Arabidopsis thaliana: one gene and its partners. The protein of the gene in region 1 purifies or fractionates together with the protein of each later gene. This does not show direct contact. Each region holds a gene or a part of one and is shown in the gene's direction. Other genes may lie near its edges.

Region 1 (4,910 bases):
TCAAGAAACCAACTCCCACCAAACATACAAGACCAAATGTTATCACACATTTGCTTAAAGTTTAAAACAGAGGGTCTGAAACAACAAGAAGCTTTAAATGGTTTGCCGAAAGCAATCCGGTCAAGCATTGCAAACTATCTCTTCTTCCCAATCGTTCAGAACGTCTACCTATTTCACGGAGTTTCTCGCAACTTCCTATTTCAGTTGGTAAAACACTCATTTGTTAACTCTTTCTTTGTCCATCTCTTTCTGTTATAATGTTCCATAAAGTTACCAACCAACTCGATATGCTTTTTCTGACCAAGGTTTCAGATATAGACGCCGAATATTTCCCACCAAGAGAAGATGTAATACTACAGAACGAAGCTCCTACTGACCTCTACATCCTAGTCTCAGGGGCAGTGGTGAGTGAATGAAATTTAAAATAAATAATTGTATAGGAATGTTGAAGTTACCTTCTAACATGTTTTACTCGCTCATGTGGTGATTGTGCAGGATTTTACTGTCTACGTTGGCGAAGAAGATCAGGTATGTGAACAATATATATCACCAAAAGAACTTCACTGTAGAACTCTTAGCTGAAAAAAGAGAAATGACTGTAATCCTCACATTCATGTAGGTTCAAGGCAAGGCGGTTGTTGGCGATGCATTTGGAGAGATTGGTGTGTTATGCTATACACCACAACCTTTCACAGTTAGGACAACAGAACTATCTCAGATACTACGGATAAGCAAAAAATCTCTAATGAGTGCTATGCGAGCTCATGTCGAAGATGGACGAGTCATAATGAACAACCTCTTCATGGTAAGTAAGAATGATATAACATCCTGGGAACTAATTTTATTTCAGAGATGTTTTCACAATGATGTTAATCAATACGAACTCATTTCATGATGATATATGTAGAAACTTAGAGGGCAACAATCAATAGCAATTGATGATCCAAATTCAGAACCAGAGTCACTTCTCAAGGAGTGGCTTGTTGGTGGTTCAAAGACAGGAGAAGGAAACGCTAGTGATCAAGGACATGGGCACAAATATTTACAACTGCATGATTCAGAAAATATTGATATGGGGTCAACTGAATGGAGAGATTCAAGAAGATCTGGTTATGGCGAAACGAAAAGAGTTCGAGAACATACGATAGAGATAGAAGAAGGAGAAAAACCAAATAAAGAGTTTGATGGAAAAGGTTGCTCTGATGCAGATCTTACCTCATTTGAATTTCATTCACAGGAAGCATATCCATATTGCAGATCAAACATCCAAATCAAACAACATGAAGCTGCAAAACCAAAAGATAAAAGAGTTACCATCCACTTGAAGTCCCGGGACAAAGATTTGTCGAAGCTGATAATCCTTCCTGCTTCCATAGAAGAGTTGCTAAGACTTGCAGGTAAGCTCTTTTACTTGTTAATTCTCTAAGAAACTACTGAACATAAGAAGGAAGTAAAGTAAACTAGAAAATTATGGTGCAGGTGAAAAATTTGGATACAGCTTCACAAAGGTCACGAATGCGGAAAACGCAGAAATAGATGATGAAGATGTGATTAGAGATGGTGATCATTTGTATATTCTCATCAATGAAAACTCTTAACAAGACTTTAGTAACCACTGTTTTCTTTCCATAGAGTGTATATGTATATCTGCAGGCAATGTAATGTTTTTTACTAGAAAAACATTTGATCATCAAAGAAGATCCTAGAGAACTTATAACTGGACAATGTTAATCCATCAGAATTCTGAATTTAACAGAGCATTTCCCGCGTAAACGTTTACATTCGAGTTTATATATATTGGGCCTTATTGGGCTTAGATGAGTTTAATTACTAATAAATGAGATTAGGCCTAGTTAATTATAAAATAAACATTTTTTCCCCTTAAAAAATTGTATCAAAGATTTTCTCATGCGAGGATTTGATTTTGAAGTCTGTCGTGAATTTTTCATTTCAATCGAATTTGATCGGAGATATGGGTGCTCAGAAGAAACCCGCGGCGGCTAAGGTTCGTGAGGATTCAGAGGATCTAAGTCGTCAACGATTACAAGCCATTCTTCTAGCCGACAGCTTCACCACTCAATTCCGTTCCATAACCCTAGAACGACCAAAGGTACTATTGCCGATAGTGAACATCCCGATGATTGATTACACTTTAGCATGGCTCGAATCAGCTGGGATCGAAGAGGTTTTTGTGTTCTGTTGTGCTCATTCGTCGCAGATCATCGATTACCTGAAGAAATCGGAATGGTACACACGCCCAAACCCAAACTTGTTGGTGAGAACGATAGTGTCTCACAATTCCACCAGTGTTGGAGATGCTCTGCGTTATATCTATGAACAACAGACAGAGACGTCGCAGATTCAAGGTGATTTTGTTCTTGTTAGTGGTGATACTGTTAGTAATATGCCACTTGCTGATTTGATTCAACAACATAGAGATAGGAAGAAGAAAGATGAGAAAGCTATCATGACTATGGTTTTTAAGAAGCAGTCTAGACTAGGAATAGGATCTGATCAACTCTTTGTTGCAGTAGATCCTTTAACGAAACAGCTTCTTCATTACGAGGAATGTAATTCGAGAGGCGGGGACTTTTGCTTAGATAAGTCCTTGTTGGATAGTACTGTTTTATGCAGTGATATGCAGGATTGTTACATTGACATTTGTTCTCCTGAGGTGCTTAGTCTCTTTGAGGATAACTTTGATTATCAGCATATGCGCCGTCATTTTGTTAATGGTTTGCTTGTTGATGATATTATGGGTTACAAGATTTTCACTCATGAGATTCAGTCGAGTTGTTATGCTGCAAGGATCGACAATTTACGGAGCTATGACACTGTTAGCAAGGATATAATCCAGAGGTGGACATACCCGTACGTACCTAATATCGATTTCAGCGGGAATCGCCCTGTAAAGCTCGGGAGACGGGGGATATACCGGGCTTCTGATGCAGTTCAATCACACACTGCAGATGTTGGAGCTTCCACTGTCATTGGATATGGCACCAAAATTGGTAATGGAGGTAAAATCTATAACTCTGTTATTGGGAACGGATGTTGTATTGGATCAAATGTGGTGATACAAGGCTCATACATATGGAACAATGTTACGATTGAAGATGGGTGTGAGATAAGGAACGCTATTGTCTGTGATGGTGTGAAAGTCAGAGCAGGAGCTGTTCTGCAGCCTGGTGTTGTTTTGTCTTTCAGTGTTGTAGTTGGGCGGGACTTTGTTGTACCTGCATATTCAAAGGTCTCTTTACTTCAACAGCCAACTACAGAAGACAGCGATGAAGAGCTGGAATATGCTGATAGTAGCAGCGGGACTGCAGATCATTCGTCAGGCCTAAATAATTTGCAAATTGAGTCCAAAGCATCTGAGCTTGGTCCTGATGGAGCAGGTTACATCTGGGAAATATGTGACAGCGCTCATGATGAGGAGTGGAAACATTCTGTTGTACCAATCCCCATGGATAAACTTGCCGATATCACTGGGGCCATGGACGATGATGACATAGAGGATGACATTGTTGTCCCACCTTCTGGAGAGTTGAAATCTGATACTGATATTATTAACACTGATGCAAATGATTCCTATGGCGACTTTGAGAGAGAGGTTGAAGAAGAATTCTTAAGTGCCGTTGAAAAGGATAACAAAGCGGACATTGTAATTCCTTTGATTAACTCACACCGGTTGGCGTACAACATGGACTCTGCAGATTGTGCTGGAGCAGTATTCTACTCTATGATGAGACTGGCAGTAAAGAGTCCACATAATTCTGCTACTGAATTGTACAGAAACGCGATGGGTGTCATAACTAAATGGAAGGGAGTTCTTGGGTTCTATTTAAAGCAAACTGATGCACAGATAGAAGTGATAATGAAATTCGAAGAGATGTGTCAGGAATCTGAAGAGTTGAGCCCTTTGTTTGCTAAACTTCTGCCTTTTCTGTATGACAAAGACGTGGTGCAAGAAGATGCGATCTTGAGATGGGGGGAAGAGAAAGCAGGAGCAGACGATTGTGACAAAGTTTATCTGAATAAATGTGAGTCATTCATAAAGTGGCTCAAGGAAGCATCTGAGGAGGAAGAAGAAGATAGTTAGATTGGTAAGCGTGACTTTCGATAGGTTGCAATGTGATTTCATTATACAGTCTATTTTGTAAAGTGATAATTTACATTTAAGATAGTAGTACTCTGTTATTTAACTGGCATCATCAACAATCTTTTGTTAGGTTTGTTGTTGAATGAGATATTTCCCATAAATCTATCCATCAAGGGTTTGTTGTATACTTGCATGTGCAAGAGATATGTTGACTAGGCTATTAAAAGAATTCATACGAAACGTTTTGTAGATAGAGTAAAGTTGATTTAAATGTGAGTCTCAAACGAAACTTAACTTGTGACGGTGTTATTCCAAATTTCCCAATTCAACCTTTACTTTTGTGTCCTTACGTCTTGAAAACATTATTACCGTCTTTGGTAACTTCATAACATGGACTTAGGGTACGCGGAAAAAGAAGAGAAAGTGTAACAAACTTAAAAATTGACGGCTATGATCAAGTTAAAAAGAAGCTTAGTTACTTAATATAGAATTACTTGGAAATATGGTGGCTGGAGAGTTCGTCACCATGGTGATATTGACTAATGAGATAGAAAACACGAAATCATAATCACATTTTGTTTTCTATTTTGTTGTTAATTTTAGTGGATTGTGTGTGTTAATGTATTTCTGACGAAAATATTCGTTTTAGTATACTAGCCTGACTTTTAACTTAAAGCTATGGTTCAGTTTTTCTATAAAACTTGTATTCTCTTCATTCGATCTTCCCACACCACACATTATTATATTTCTCAAACGAAATTTCTCTCTTCAAACAAGAAATACTAAAAGACTGCTCGATCTCTTCAAA
Region 2 (7,141 bases), 5.1 Mb from region 1:
TTTTTTAATTCGTTGGCTCTTAGGCCCAAATTAATTCTCTCATTAATTTACGGTTCGGTTTTAATCGGTTCTAATTTGTCAATCCGGATAAAAAGTCAATAACATCTAACATAGACCAAACCATTATCCCAAAGAAAAAAAAAACATAGACCAAACCAAGTCAACATGAATTGAAATTTAAGAACCTCGGTCCTCCCAACTCAACCGAAACACAATCAAACCGGCCAAACATTGTTTTTTTTACGGCAACAAAGATATATCAAAACACAAATTGCAACACTAAAAATCATGTGTTTTATTGGTGCCTTATATAACAAATGAAACCTTACCCGAAAGGTTTAGCATATATGACATCCAGACAAGAGAAAACGTAATTCATCATTTTCGTTATCTAACATACAAGAATCAAAACAAGATTTCACATTAACAAAGATAAAGTGTACATAGTTGAGGAAAATAAAGGTAAAGATAAAGTGTAGACAATATTCAAAAGGGTGGTTGTCCAACAATGTTACCAGGAGGATCATAGTTACAAATAATAAATGTGTCACCGGTCTTGCAAAAACTGATTGCACACCCAATCCTCGAACTCTTCTTCCATACAAGTTGCGTGTAATGCAAACAATCCCCATTCGCCTTGCAGTGGGAAGTCCTCCGGTCATAGTATTTCATCTCCGAGGCCCATGCAGCCACCGCATCCCGTGGAGTCCAACCTTTTCCGCTTCCCCAGAAGAGATTCTCCCCGTAAGGTCCCCCGGAGTGGATAAGTTTGCAATCTCCACGGCGGGTTCTGGCCCACCGGCTCGCATAGAGGGCGAGGCTATTGCTCCATTTGAGAGGAGGGAGACGAAGCTTGGCTCGTAAGATGTTGTGTGGTCGGAGAAACTGCTGCTGAATGGTGTTGCGGGCTAGAGCTTTGTCTTGAGAAAAAATTAGTGTTGATGTTGTCGGTGTTCTGTTTGATGGGATTTGAAAAGAGAGAGAAGGAAGTGGAGTGCTGATAACTATGATAATGATGATGAATATCAGAGTTTTTTGTTCCATTGGGATGCTAAGTTAGATTTGTTTCTGAGCCTCTAGATCTAGCTAGTACGATCCTTACCATATATATATACACACACACACATAATTGTTTATGCTTTCATATTTGTACGTATATATCATCTAACGAATCTAAACACATGCTATGTTAATAATGCGCAATGACAAGTGCTAATCATTTCGGTGGAACATTGATTATTTGTAGGGAATGATTTTATTCAAACAAAGCATACATTATTGAGCTAATTAATAGATCATTATATATGAAGGAAGTTTTAATAGGATGTTTTCTTTTTTTCTTGTAAGAAGAGACTTTATCATAGCAACGAGAATATATCCCAAGCATAAAACATTATATACAAACTCATTCAAATGAAAACCTAAGTTAGATATTTAATTTGACCACTCTTAAAATACTTGTTTAGTTATAACATGTTTACTATGCAGATTTATGAGGCGTATCAGATGGTGTGCTAGAGAACGTGATACAAATTTGGATGCCTTGTTTTCAAGAAATCTTATACATTCCTTGGAGATCAATTTGTATTGTGAGGCTTATAGTCATTGAGCTTACCGTTGATTAACTAAATTTATATTATATAGAACATCAAATAGACGAAAAAAATCAATTTAGTTGACCACCGTTTGTTAGCTAGGTTATAAACTCTGACCCAAAGTGTCCTATGCTTTCAGTATTCAGTTTATTTTATAACGTGTGGGGTCGTTTTGGAAACAATTAAAACAATAGGGGCTATATTTTTCTCAAGTTCTGTTGGACTGGGCTTGTCGTTAATCAATATTTGGGCTTTTGAGGTTGACTCGCTTTTTTCCGTTCTTCGTTTTCCAAAATCAAACCCAAAAGGATTTGGAGGAGTTAATTCACCTGACGAATCCACCACCATAATATTAAGCACATTTGATCTCTCACTTCCTTGGTGCGAGTGTTTTGTTTTCCGAGATCCAAAATCTTCTCTTGGATCCAAAGCTGTGTTACTGTGGATCTCCTCCTCCTCTCTCCCTGGATCTCGTACCTTTGAGGTTTGTCTCTCTGTGTTAAACTTGCGACTCAGATTTCATAGAGATCGATCCCACTTTTGCCTTTTCCTTTGTGAAAATCTACAATGTTCAATTATTCTCTGGCGCTCTTTGTTTGATCTCGTTGAATATTGATCTGATTCCGGTAGGAAACCGATTTTCATGTTTGTGCAGCTGAGTGAGACTGCGAATTATGTAGATTTCATTGTTTGTTCATCTAATCTGGGGAGATAGATCGCATTTTTTTTTTTTTTGAATTTTGGTTGATCCGAAGCTGTTTTAACTGATTTTTCGTTTTTATGTTATTATTTTGGTCGTAGTTGTAGTACAGTGATGTGTATTGCTGGATCTGAGGATTTAGATTTGTCAATGTTTTGCATCTTTGGGTCTCTGATTGGACATTACCGAATATTCTTCTGAAATTATGATGTTTTCTCATAAACCACGGATTCGAGAATAGAGATCATGTATTCAATGTATTGAAATCCAAGCAGAGAGGTATGGATTATCGCCGATGATACTGTTGAACTTCTTGTATAGAACTTACTCTAGCACTGATGAGGACACTAGTAAGGTGCTTATATTCAGTAATTCGAACTTGAAATCGCCAGAAATATTAAAAGTTTTGATATCTTGTTTTTACTTGTGATCTATACTTCATTATGTCTTTAATCAATTGTAACAATTTTGCTCTATTCATCTTCTATTTCTTATATTAACAAAGGAACACTTGTTCGTGAATGGTTTTTCCTTTTCATTTGAGCTCACAGATTTTTTTCTCTTTCACTTTTTGTGCAGCACCGGAGAAGATGGACAAATCTAGTACCATGCTTGTTCACTATGACAAAGGGACTCCAGCAGTTGCTAATGAGATTAAAGAAGCTCTCGAAGGAAATGATGTTGAAGCTAAAGTTGATGCCATGAAGAAGGCAATTATGCTTTTGCTGAATGGTGAAACCATTCCTCAGCTTTTCATAACCATTATAAGATATGTGCTACCTTCTGAGGACCACACAATCCAAAAGCTTCTGTTGCTGTACCTGGAGCTGATTGAAAAGACTGATTCTAAGGGGAAGGTGTTACCTGAAATGATTTTGATATGCCAGAATCTTCGTAATAACCTTCAGCATCCTAATGAGTACATCCGTGGAGTGACACTGAGGTTTCTCTGCCGGATGAAGGAGACTGAAATTGTGGAGCCTTTAACTCCATCAGTGTTACAAAATCTGGAGCATCGCCATCCATTTGTTCGCAGGAATGCCATTCTGGCCATCATGTCGATATATAAGCTTCCACAAGGCGACCAACTCTTTGTGGATGCGCCTGAAATGATCGAGAAAGTTCTATCAACCGAACAAGATCCTTCTGCCAAGAGAAATGCATTTCTAATGCTCTTTACCTGTGCTGAAGAACGTGCAGTGAATTATCTTCTGAGCAATGTTGACAAGGTTTCAGACTGGAATGAATCACTTCAGATGGTGGTGCTGGAGTTGATTCGAAGTGTGTGTAAGACTAAACCAGCAGAGAAGGGGAAATATATTAAGATTATTATTTCTCTGTTAAGTGCTACTTCTTCTGCAGTTATCTATGAATGTGCTGGGACACTTGTTTCTCTCTCATCTGCCCCTACTGCGATTCGGGCTGCTGCCAACACCTACTGCCAACTTCTTCTTTCTCAGAGTGACAACAATGTGAAGCTTATTTTACTCGATCGGTTGTATGAGCTTAAGACATTGCACAGAGATATCATGGTTGAGTTGATAATAGATGTGCTCAGAGCACTCTCAAGCCCAAACCTTGATATCCGCAGGAAGACGCTTGACATTTCCCTTGACTTGATTACCCATCATAATATCAATGAGGTCGTTCAAATGTTGAAGAAAGAAGTTGTGAAGACACAGAGTGGAGAACTTGAGAAGAATGGGGAGTACAGACAAATGCTTATTCAAGCCATCCACGCTTGTGCAGTGAAGTTCCCCGAAGTTGCAAGCACAGTGGTCCACCTTCTGATGGACTTCTTGGGAGATAGCAATGTGGCTTCAGCTCTTGACGTGGTTGTTTTTGTTAGAGAGATAATAGAAACAAATCCCAAGTTAAGAGTTTCAATCATCACAAGGTTATTGGACACGTTCTATCAGATCCGAGCAGGAAAGGTCTGCCCTTGTGCCCTTTGGATAATTGGGGAGTATTGCCTATCACTTTCGGAAGTTGAGAGTGGCATTTCAACTATCACGCAATGCCTTGGCGAATTACCATTTTACTCTGTTTCTGAGGAGTCTGAGCCAACTGAGACATCAAAGAAGATTCAGCCTACCTCTTCTGCCATGGTGTCCTCTAGAAAGCCAGTGATTCTTGCTGATGGAACTTATGCTACCCAAAGCGCAGCCTCTGAAACCACATTCTCCTCACCTACAGTTGTTCAAGGATCACTGACTTCTGGAAATTTGAGAGCACTGCTACTAACTGGTGATTTTTTCCTCGGAGCAGTGGTTGCTTGCACGTTGACCAAACTTGTTCTTAGGTTAGAAGAGGTTCAGTCTTCTAAAACTGAAGTAAATAAGACAGTCACACAGGCTTTGTTGATCATGGTTTCTATGTTGCAACTTGGGCAATCTCCTGTTTCTCCACACCCTATTGATAATGATTCGTATGAGAGGATTGTGTTGTGCATAAAATTGCTTTGCCATAGGAATGATGAGATGAAAAAGATATGGTTAGAATCCTGCCGCCAGAGTTTTGTCAAGATGATTTCTGAAAAACAGCTTAGAGAGATGGAGGAACTGAAGGCGAAGACCCAAACAACGCATGCTCAACCTGATGATCTAATTGACTTCTTCCATCTAAAGAGTCGGAAGGTATTATTACTTCCTAAGCTTCCCTTTGCTTTATTGGGTTTTTTTTTCCATATGAGTTTTCCTTTTCAATCTGTTCAGTTCTGTTACGTTGGTGTCTACTTTTTCTTACAGTTCATATCCAATTTTTTTTTTCGCATTCTCAAAGAAAGTTCGAAAGTTGATAGTGGCATGTTATGTTTATTTATTTCGGTCAGTAGTTGAAATTACTGACGATAAGTTTCTTTCAGGGAATGAGTCAACTTGAGTTGGAAGACCAAGTACAAGATGACCTAAAGCGTGCAACTGGAGAATTCACCAAGGACGAGAACGATGCTAACAAACTTAACCGCATTCTTCAACTCACAGGATTCAGTGACCCAGTCTATGCTGAAGCATATGTGACGGTACACCATTATGATATTGCTCTTGAAGTTACAGTAATCAACCGAACCAAGGAAACCCTTCAGAACTTGTGCTTGGAGTTAGCAACCATGGGTGATCTCAAACTTGTTGAGCGTCCTCAGAACTACAGTCTGGCACCTGAAAGAAGCATGCAGATTAAAGCAAACATCAAGGTGTCGTCCACAGAGACGGGAGTCATATTCGGGAACATCGTCTATGAGACATCAAATGTAATGGAGCGAAACGTCGTTGTTCTTAATGACATACACATTGATATCATGGACTATATCTCCCCTGCTGTGTGTTCAGAGGTTGCTTTCAGAACTATGTGGGCAGAGTTCGAATGGGAAAACAAGGTAATTTATTGAAACCTTTTATAGTTGTACCTTCTTTTCGTATGTTTGTTGGAGTTTGGTATAACCAATTCCTGTTGTATTCTTTATGTCAGGTTGCTGTGAACACCACAATACAAAACGAAAGAGAATTCCTCGACCACATTATCAAATCTACAAACATGAAATGTCTCACTGCTCCGTAAGTGTAAATTCTTCTTTCATCCTGTAGAAACGAAAAACTCTTCTTACTAATTAATACTTCTTTACTTGCAGATCCGCAATAGAAGGCGAATGTGGATTCCTTGCAGCAAACTTATACGCAAAAAGTGTATTTGGTGAGGATGCTCTTGTGAATGTGAGTATTGAGAAGCAAACGGATGGAGCATTGAGTGGTTACATAAGGATAAGGAGCAAGACGCAAGGGATTGCCCTAAGTCTTGGGGACAAAATCACCCTCAAACAAAAGGGTAGTAGCTGAGGTTAGCTAATCTTTTCAAAACATATTCTATTTCTCGATTAATACATGTTTTAATCCTTAAACCGCAATTGGTCTAAATTTCAGTACCATACCGATGATTTCTCACAGTGGCGTGCAAAGGTAACAGGTTTAGACTACGTACGTTTCTCTTGAGCAATTATCGTTGGTTGAATCTGCTTATTATATGGAGGGAGGAGGCGTTCAAGGGTATATGTAAAAAGAGTAATTGGCTATCGTTCTTACTTAACCGGTATATTTTCTGGTATGGTACCGATGGATTTCTTCATCTCATATGGCAGTGTGTTTTTTACTGTACTAGACGATTTTGTTTTATTTGTAATGCTTTTTCTTCTATAATGTCGTTTGTTGAGGACTTTAAACCGTGAACTTTATGATATTGTAGATTTCAAAGCTACATTTGGTTTGCTCCATTTTAGAACTCGTCATTTCAGATTTGATCTCTATTCTTTTCTTTCATATGCATTTGAAGTGAACTATTCAATTGTCAAAGCTAGACTTTAATTTGCTAGTAGCTATATAATACGGGTTATGTTAGCAAGTAAGTTGTAATGAAACGCATGTATTAATATGGACCATATTCAAAATCTACAAGCCAAAGAAACCAATTGCTTCACAACCAAACCCATAACATTTGATTCTTACAGCCTTTTCTATTCTCAAGAAAACCAAGCAATAATTTTTAAGCAAAATTTAATAATCTTAAATCACTTGCCTCAAGGTACCAAGGGACGATCACATACACATTCGCGTAACTAGATATCGCTAACATCATTAGACAAGAAAATACTAGACGCGAGTAGAAGAGGAAAGATCCAAATACATCATCTTCTATCATAAAATCATCCATCTCTAACCGAAAGTTGGAGCACGTTTCAAGGAAAAACTGACATAATTCCTAATTACGCTCACTTTTAAAAGTTTGGGGTCGTTTTGGAAACAATAAAAAAGTAGGGGCTATGCTTTCTCAACTTCTATTGGACTGGGCTTGTCAACAA
Region 3 (7,499 bases), on another chromosome or scaffold:
TGACAGTTTGAGCATAGGGTCAATGCATTGTTATTCAAAATTGAGAATATTTCACTTTCGTACACTTTTGTTATTCTAATAACCATAAGGTCCATAACAGAAAAAAATTAATATGAGAAGATATGTGTGTAGAGACTACAGGCTACATGCTCGAGATCTCATTATCGGTACGTAAGACACAAACAAAAGTACGAGTCGTACGTGTTATCCATCAAACTATAACTTACGAGTGTTTATTTCACATTTATAGTCTTCAAATAGGTAAACACGGATTCACTTTTTGTTTAAGCCCACGATTTACATTTGTACTTGTGTTGCCGATAAAAATAAAATATTATTTTAATGGTTTTGAAAGCGTTTTTGGTTACTATAGTAGATCTTAAGTGTTTTTTGTATTTCACTTATTTCATTACATGGAAAATATAGTTCTCTTCTTTTTATTTGTTCTAATCATGAGACATCAACATCGCCTTTCAGTATCTTATTTTGGTCACAAAAGTCTATCTACCATTTGAAAATCATTGTCAAGAGTCTATCTAGTTATTCTATGTCCAAAAATATTATTACTTCACTTTCAAGTCGTCTGCACAAACTAAATTTTATATGAGGTTTTTTTTTTGAACACAAAATTGTGTATGAGCTTAAACTACACTACACACGTGCATAATAGCGATTAAGACACATATTATAAGGATTATCTGGGTGTAGAAGTTCAGAATTTGGGATTACGAGAATTGCAATAAATTGTTTACAGATTAAAATTTAACGAAAGGAAATTAAAATAAAAGTAAAACAGCTTAAGATCAAAGCTGATTTGATGAATTGATACTTTTGAAGATATGACCATCTTCATATAAAGTCTGAAATGCAATATATGCATCACGCATTATCCAAATAGAAAACGACCACCACTTTAATTTCAAGATATAAAACCAATACCTAAAATGAAGAAAATTTATATATGCATGTGCATCTGTAATATATAATCAACCATTAATTATCTATATATAATTACGATTCACCAATATTAATTACATAATCTCAAACGTTATACGTACGTATTATTTAGGGTTGAAAACAAAACAAAATGTCATGCGTATATGAACTATACATATGCGTCATTAGCTCGTTCTTCAATCTAGGTTTAATATGAAAAATAATTTTTTCTTCATAAATATCTTTTTCTTGGAGCATTGTTTTTTTTTTCTTTTTTCTTTTTTTCTTGGAGCATTGTATTTGTATGAGAGTTCGCTTTCATCTTTGGATCCTAAGAATATAACTTTTATGCAAATAGAAAGGACACAGCTATTGTGCTTAGGATGGTACCCTCATCGTCCTATCTTTAGACATTAAAAATAAAATACCATTGATTTTGACCTTAGGTATATAATTTGTATATCGAACCCGTGGAGGTCGCATTTGCAACGTGAATCCATAACGATATACCAACAGATAAACCATATCTCTAATTGTCAATGAAATGTACAAACATATATCCCTTATTCTTTCATCTTAGAACATATTTTTAGGATCTCTTGAACGGTTGATTTTGTTTGTTGTGATCGAGGATATGTTGTTAATTGTTATTTGATTGTTGGTGAGTATGGAGTGTTGGTGGGTAATGGGTATAAGATAGGCGATTAAGATGCAAAGAACAAACCTACCTCGGTCTCATTCGATATTTGTGCTCGTTCTTTAGATTAAAACATAGTCGCAACAACATATAACAAAAAAAAATCTGTAACAAAACAATGGGTTTGTTTTATAATCTAATGAGTAAATGTACATGAATCAACCAAAATTACTGAATGCCCAATTTTAGTTCAACATGAGTTAAAACAGATTTTAAAACTAATATAAAACGTCGTCAATTTCAAATTCTAATGGTTGGATCGATTTAAAAGCCCAAATATAAGAAGGTGATCGTTAAAGGCCCAATTAAATTGAATCCCTAATATATCAAGTGAGAGTGTTAATCGTCGTCTCTCTCTTCAACCATTTCCCGGCTTCCGCGTTTTTGCTTTGTAGCGCCGGACCGGAGAAGATAAAACCCTTGCTCCGCCCCACTCACAGGAAGTTCTACATCGACCTGAGTTCTCGTACTTCGTCGTATCACTCGTTCTTCCTACGATGAACTGTGCAAGTAAAGCTTTCAGTCGTCTCTCTCTATTTTTTCTCAATATGCCGATTTAGGGTTTTCTTATGGTTGATGTTGGTGGCGGCACTGTGTTCTTTCAGTTTCAGGAGAAGTTCCCGTGGAGCCAGTGGTTTCGACGAAGTCAGGATTACTCTTCGAGAGACGACTAATCGAAAGACATATATCGGTAAGCTTTGAGCTGAATTAAGCACTGCCAAGTACTTTTACCGTCTTGTTTTTTTTGTTCTCACTGGAAGGATTTCTCGTAATTTGAGTGATGTTGTTTGGTTTACTTCGGATGATTCTTGTAGCACTGTGAAATTATCGAGAAATTCTTTTGGGCACCAATGAGATCCGATCTCCAGTGAGAGCTCTTTTAGATTATCACGCCACTTGGAAATGAATGATTTCTTCTAAATTATTTTCCTCTGTAGGATTATGGGAAGTGCCCGGTTACTGGCGAACCACTTACCATTGATGACATTGTTCCCATCAAAACTGGGGAGGTAGTGTAATCTCTTTAACTATTTGATGCAAAGTACTGTTGACGATATTTGTTTGAGATTTTTTAATGTAATTGTCAATTGTGTAGATCATAAAGCCGAAAACATTGCATACAGCTAGTATCCCTGGATTGCTCGGAACGTTCCAGAATGTAAGCTTTAATTGTTCTTTTGCAAATTTGTTCCTACCTTTTCTCTTGGATTTATGCTTGTTTTCTTAATGGGAAGTTCACTAAGAAATGTCACAATGTTTTATGTTATTGGTCATGTAGAGTTTGGTTGATTGACTTAAAATAAATTTTCCAAGGTTGTTTCTTAAATGTATACAAGATTCGTTTAACTGAACACATTGGCCTCTTCTCTTTAGTAACATTATTACGCGGATCACCTGCTCCTTTTCTGAGTGCTAATCAACATAAATTGTTCATTTTTTTGGGATGAATTATTCGAAGTAATTGCGTGAGAAGTTTAGCTGCTTTGCATTTTTTAGGAATGGGACGGTTTGATGCTATCAAATTTTGCACTGGAGCAACAACTACATACTGCAAGGCAAGAGCTAAGTCATGCCTTGTATCAGGTAATTTTGGCTGTGTGTTTCTGTCACCAGTTTATGAGGTGCCATGGTCAATAAATTTGTTTTATGCACCCTAGATTTATTTTCCTCACTCATTTCATCTTTTAGTGTGTTTAGTCTACTGATGGGACTGTTTTACCTTCTGTTTGCAGCATGATTCTGCTTGTCGTGTGATTGCTAGACTTAAAAAAGAAAGAGACGAAGCACGCCAATTACTGGCCGAGGTTGAGAGACATATACCTGCGGCCCCTGAAGCTGTGACAGCTAATGCTGCTCTGAGTAATGGTAAACGAGGTATGATTGTACACTTTTTACTCAAAATATATTGGCTAGTTATTTTTTCCTCTTGTAACATGTCACTATACTCTTTTGTTGTATAATAGCTGCCGTTGACGAGGAACTGGGTCCTGATGCAAAGAAATTGTGTCCTGGAATTTCAGCTGAAATTATTACGGAATTGACTGATTGTAATGCTGCTCTTTCCCAGAAGCGAAAAAAGCGACAGGTACTGCACATAGACTCGTATCTATCTTTGAATATGCATTTGAATGTTAGAAGGCAAGACCTGACGACTTGCTACGTTTATGTATTTTTTCTTGTTTGTAGAGGCATGTGATTTATACTCACTATATCTATTTAGATCCTAGTATTCGGTTTGAAACTTAACTAAAAAAATGTTGCCCTCCTGCCTAGTCTTGTGATTTTTTTTGTATTGGTTCCTGCTGTCTTGATAATTTTAATATTTTTCTGTAGATTCCTCAAACATTGGCGTCAATAGATACTTTGGAGAGGTTCACTCAGCTATCAAGCCACCCACTTCACAAGACCAACAAACCAGGCATTTGTTCGATGGACATTCTACATTCTAAGGTCCCTCATCTGATGGTTTTTTAATCACATCCCCTTATTCTTATTTTCCTCTGTTTCTGAAAGCCTCTTCATAGCATGTGATAACCGACTGGCAAACTTCTAATCTTCTATGTATAAATTATTTGAATATAGCCTTGAGTCCTTGGTTGGGGAATGATCATATCATTGTTATGTCTTTTTTGCATAATATTTTTATTTGCCTATTACATACCTATATGCTGTGTGTGATAGTTTGTATTACGACCACGACCAGGGATTCTTTGCATTTCTTTGATCTTATATTATGCTAAGTTTTGGTGTGCAAAAATTTACATCAGAACTATATTTCTTCTTAATTCGGTGACCAGGATGTCATTGCTACTGGAGGAGTTGATGCAACTGCTGTTCTCTTTGATCGCCCTTCTGGACAAATCTTGTCAACACTGACTGGTCACTCGAAGAAGGTTTTTAACTTTTTGCCTTAGATTTTTGTTTGAATTTGTTTCATGTAGCTCCATGCTTGATATGTGTTGATTCTTTTGTAGGTTACAAGCGTAAAATTTGTAGGCGACTCTGATCTTGTTTTGACTGCTTCTGCTGACAAGGTAATTTCATATGTCATATTTTATGAATAGTGCTTGGTATTAGTTCTATAGGAAATTGTAATCCCACATTGTGTATTGCCTTCGTTTTGAAAAGTAGTAGCCGGCAGATGCATTTGTTTATTTGTATTGTGAAAAGATGACTAGTAGCCATTGAATCTTTTTCTGTAGATGTCATGATGCTATCTTTGAAAACTTTGTTTGCTGCGAGTTATAAAACACATTTTGATCACTCACACCAGAAGTCTCTGTAATTTGTTGGATGCTCTGTTCGATTTCACAGAGGATGTACATCACCAATTGTTCGATAGTTATCTTTTTATTACTAAATTAGTGACTTACCTGCAGACAGTCCGTATCTGGCGGAATCCTGGGGATGGGAATTATGCTTGTGGGTATACATTGAATGATCATTCTGCGGAGGTAAGGATGAATTTGAGGAACTCTTACAGTCCGTTCCATGTTCTTTTAATTCATATACTTTTTGTGTAACTTTAGTTAATGATGCTTTATTCAGGTGCGAGCTGTAACTGTGCATCCCACAAATAAATACTTTGTCTCGGCATCTCTTGATGGTACATGGTGCTTCTACGATCTGTCCTCTGGCTCATGCCTTGCACAGGTCCCTAAACACTTTCCTTAAAGAACCAACTAATACCTGTTTTCCTTTCTAGCTTTGCCTGTATGCTATATAACAGAAATGATTATATATATTTACAAGAAACAATTGTGTGGATTATACTTTCTTCATGAGCATTTTCATATCAGCTAAAATCCGTGGTTCGGTGTATGGTTAGAGTACGAGCTCCTTTACTCATGAAAGCCTTTGTCATATTCCTTGTTTTTATTCAGGTATCAGATGATTCAAAGAATGTAGATTACACGGCTGCTGCTTTTCATCCCGATGGTCTCATTCTCGGAACCGGTACTTCTCAATCTGTTGTTAAGATTTGGGACGTTAAAAGTCAGGTAAAAACTATGGGCTTCCAAACTATATGACCTATTAAAATTATTAATTGTGTACAGTGTTCTTCATTATAGTTTTCATTTTTTTGGTTGATAATAGGCAAATGTGGCTAAGTTTGATGGACACACTGGGGAAGTTACAGCTATATCTTTCTCTGAAAATGGTTACTTCCTCGCGGTGAGTACTTTGAACAAAATACGAGAAGAGAGAATACAGCTTAAGTTATGCTTACATGAATGATTTTCTTTTTGTCCTGGAATTGACAGACAGCTGCAGAGGATGGTGTTAGGTTGTGGGATCTGCGCAAGTTAAGGAACTTCAAATCATTTTTATCTGCAGATGCGAACTCTGGTACACAACTATCGTATCTGTTTCTACTCATTTTGTTGATAGAGAACTTTCTATGTATTATAAGCTCGCTTTGATTAAACCTACTTTTTTTTTGTGTGCAGTGGAGTTTGATCCTAGCGGATCTTATCTCGGTATTGCTGCATCAGATATCAAGTGAGTACACATTTGAAAATAGTGATCAAAACATCCAAAGCTCAGCTAAAGAAAATATCCAAAGAGACCAAGCTAGCTTGATTAATCTGCACGTTGGGTTAACACAATTTATGTGTTTTGGCTGCAGAGTATACCAGACGGCAAGTGTGAAAGCTGAATGGAACCTTATCAAGACACTCCCAGATCTCTCCGGCACTGGTAAAGTCCCTTACCTAACTCCTTCAATGATCACATAGCGATAATGTTGCTAATTTCGAAGCCCTTACACTTGCAGGTAAAGCTACGTGTGTGAAGTTTGGTTCAGATGCACAGTACGTTGCAGTCGGTTCGATGGACCGTAACCTACGGATATTTGGTCTTCCTGGTGATGAAAAAGCCAACGTCGATGATGACTCTGCGCAAGACTCGTGAACAATCCGTAAAAAACTCAGACAGAACATTCCAAATGTCCATCTCCAGTGTTATCTCGCTCAAATTTCTCAAGTTCTGTTGTATCTTACAGTATTTGCAGCAATGGGGGAGAATTTCATAGGTGCGGGTCATGAGTGAGTGGTGATTGTGATCATCCTCGCTACCTCTTGGAATTCAAACAATGACACTCACAAACCCTCGAGTTTTCTTATAGGCTCTTTTAATCGCTTTGTACCTTCAATATATGTACCAAAAAATGTGTTCTTTCTGTTGCCAAATGAATTCAGACACTAATGAAGATCCCAAACCGATGGTGCTAAACCGCATTTGGTATTATTTAATCTGTTCTAGACAGTGGTGGTCTGCTTAGTATTCCGTATTCCAACAAATGATTTCAGCTGGTCTCTGAGAACAAAATTTTAACTAAATGTTAAAGAATACCCTTGACTGTACTTGGTCAAAAATCACTGGGCACAATATTTACATTTATCCACGAATATCAGATTCGTGATTCCTTTTGCAATTCCAGGATTAGTTTAACTTCACGCAAAAGATAATGTTTTGTAATACCCTTTCTTTATTGTGACCAGGATTGACAATTCGTGTTAAGGTATAACCACGTGTTTCCTCACAATTCTAAAGAATGCTTATGTTTCTCCCTGTCTATATTATTTTTTTAATTTTGTCTGAAAATACTAAAATAACTTGAACAAATCATCGTATAAAAACTACAAAATACATAAACTAAGCTTAAAGAAATACCTACACGATGAACTTTTTATATAGTAATTAGTAACAACTACAAAATACATAACCTTACTAGCTACTGGGAAAAAAATTGTCCAGTTTTAGATGATCAGAGTAAATATAATACTAATTGTCTTCCATTTTAATTATTGTCGAAAACGTGTTTTCATAAAGTAACTATTATTGGGTTTCATTACTAAATTCT

What was found. Proteins that work in one complex are often made in the same cells at the same time.
Region 2: the proteins of AT4G18300 (region 1) and AT4G31480 fractionate together in Arabidopsis thaliana (co-fractionation; one large-scale study listed by BioGRID). This does not show direct contact.
Region 3: the proteins of AT4G18300 (region 1) and MAC3B fractionate together in Arabidopsis thaliana (co-fractionation; one large-scale study listed by BioGRID). This does not show direct contact.

Annotation. Positions count from the first base shown.
Region 1 is NC_003075.7:10,116,880-10,121,789, forward strand, and holds AT4G18300 (Trimeric LpxA-like enzyme), read left to right. Parts: upstream 1-1,904; 5' UTR 1,905-1,972; coding exon 1,973-4,102; 3' UTR 4,103-4,379; downstream 4,380-4,910. Other genes in the region: KAT2 (potassium channel KAT1-like protein), read left to right, coding at 1-207, 306-404, 496-528, 620-805, 908-1,397, 1,480-1,598.
Region 2 is NC_003075.7:15,261,260-15,268,400, forward strand, and holds AT4G31480 (Coatomer, beta subunit), read left to right. Parts: upstream 1-1,894; 5' UTR 1,895-2,816; coding exon 2,817-4,931; intron 4,932-5,158; coding exon 5,159-5,668; intron 5,669-5,760; coding exon 5,761-5,846; intron 5,847-5,920; coding exon 5,921-6,125; 3' UTR 6,126-6,126; intron 6,127-6,209; 3' UTR 6,210-6,632; downstream 6,633-7,141. Other genes in the region: AT4G31470 (CAP (Cysteine-rich secretory proteins, Antigen 5, and Pathogenesis-related 1 protein) superfamily protein), read right to left, coding at 487-1,044. UniProt on the Arabidopsis thaliana protein: The coatomer is a cytosolic protein complex that binds to dilysine motifs and reversibly associates with Golgi non-clathrin-coated vesicles, which further mediate biosynthetic protein transport from the ER, via the Golgi up to the trans Golgi network.
Region 3 is NC_003071.7:14,125,632-14,133,130, reverse strand, and holds MAC3B (MOS4-associated complex 3B), read left to right. Parts: upstream 1-1,906; 5' UTR 1,907-2,130; coding exon 2,131-2,143; intron 2,144-2,238; coding exon 2,239-2,324; intron 2,325-2,571; coding exon 2,572-2,643; intron 2,644-2,729; coding exon 2,730-2,792; intron 2,793-3,130; coding exon 3,131-3,217; intron 3,218-3,366; coding exon 3,367-3,508; intron 3,509-3,597; coding exon 3,598-3,719; intron 3,720-3,967; coding exon 3,968-4,084; intron 4,085-4,431; coding exon 4,432-4,527; intron 4,528-4,608; coding exon 4,609-4,668; intron 4,669-5,013; coding exon 5,014-5,088; intron 5,089-5,182; coding exon 5,183-5,287; intron 5,288-5,517; coding exon 5,518-5,634; intron 5,635-5,731; coding exon 5,732-5,809; intron 5,810-5,898; coding exon 5,899-5,983; intron 5,984-6,084; coding exon 6,085-6,136; intron 6,137-6,263; coding exon 6,264-6,334; coding exon of another isoform or gene 6,335-6,339; intron 6,340-6,410; coding exon 6,411-6,547; 3' UTR 6,548-6,990; downstream 6,991-7,499. UniProt on the Arabidopsis thaliana protein: Probable ubiquitin-protein ligase which is mainly involved pre-mRNA splicing and DNA repair. Component of the MAC complex that probably regulates defense responses through transcriptional control and thereby is essential for plant innate immunity.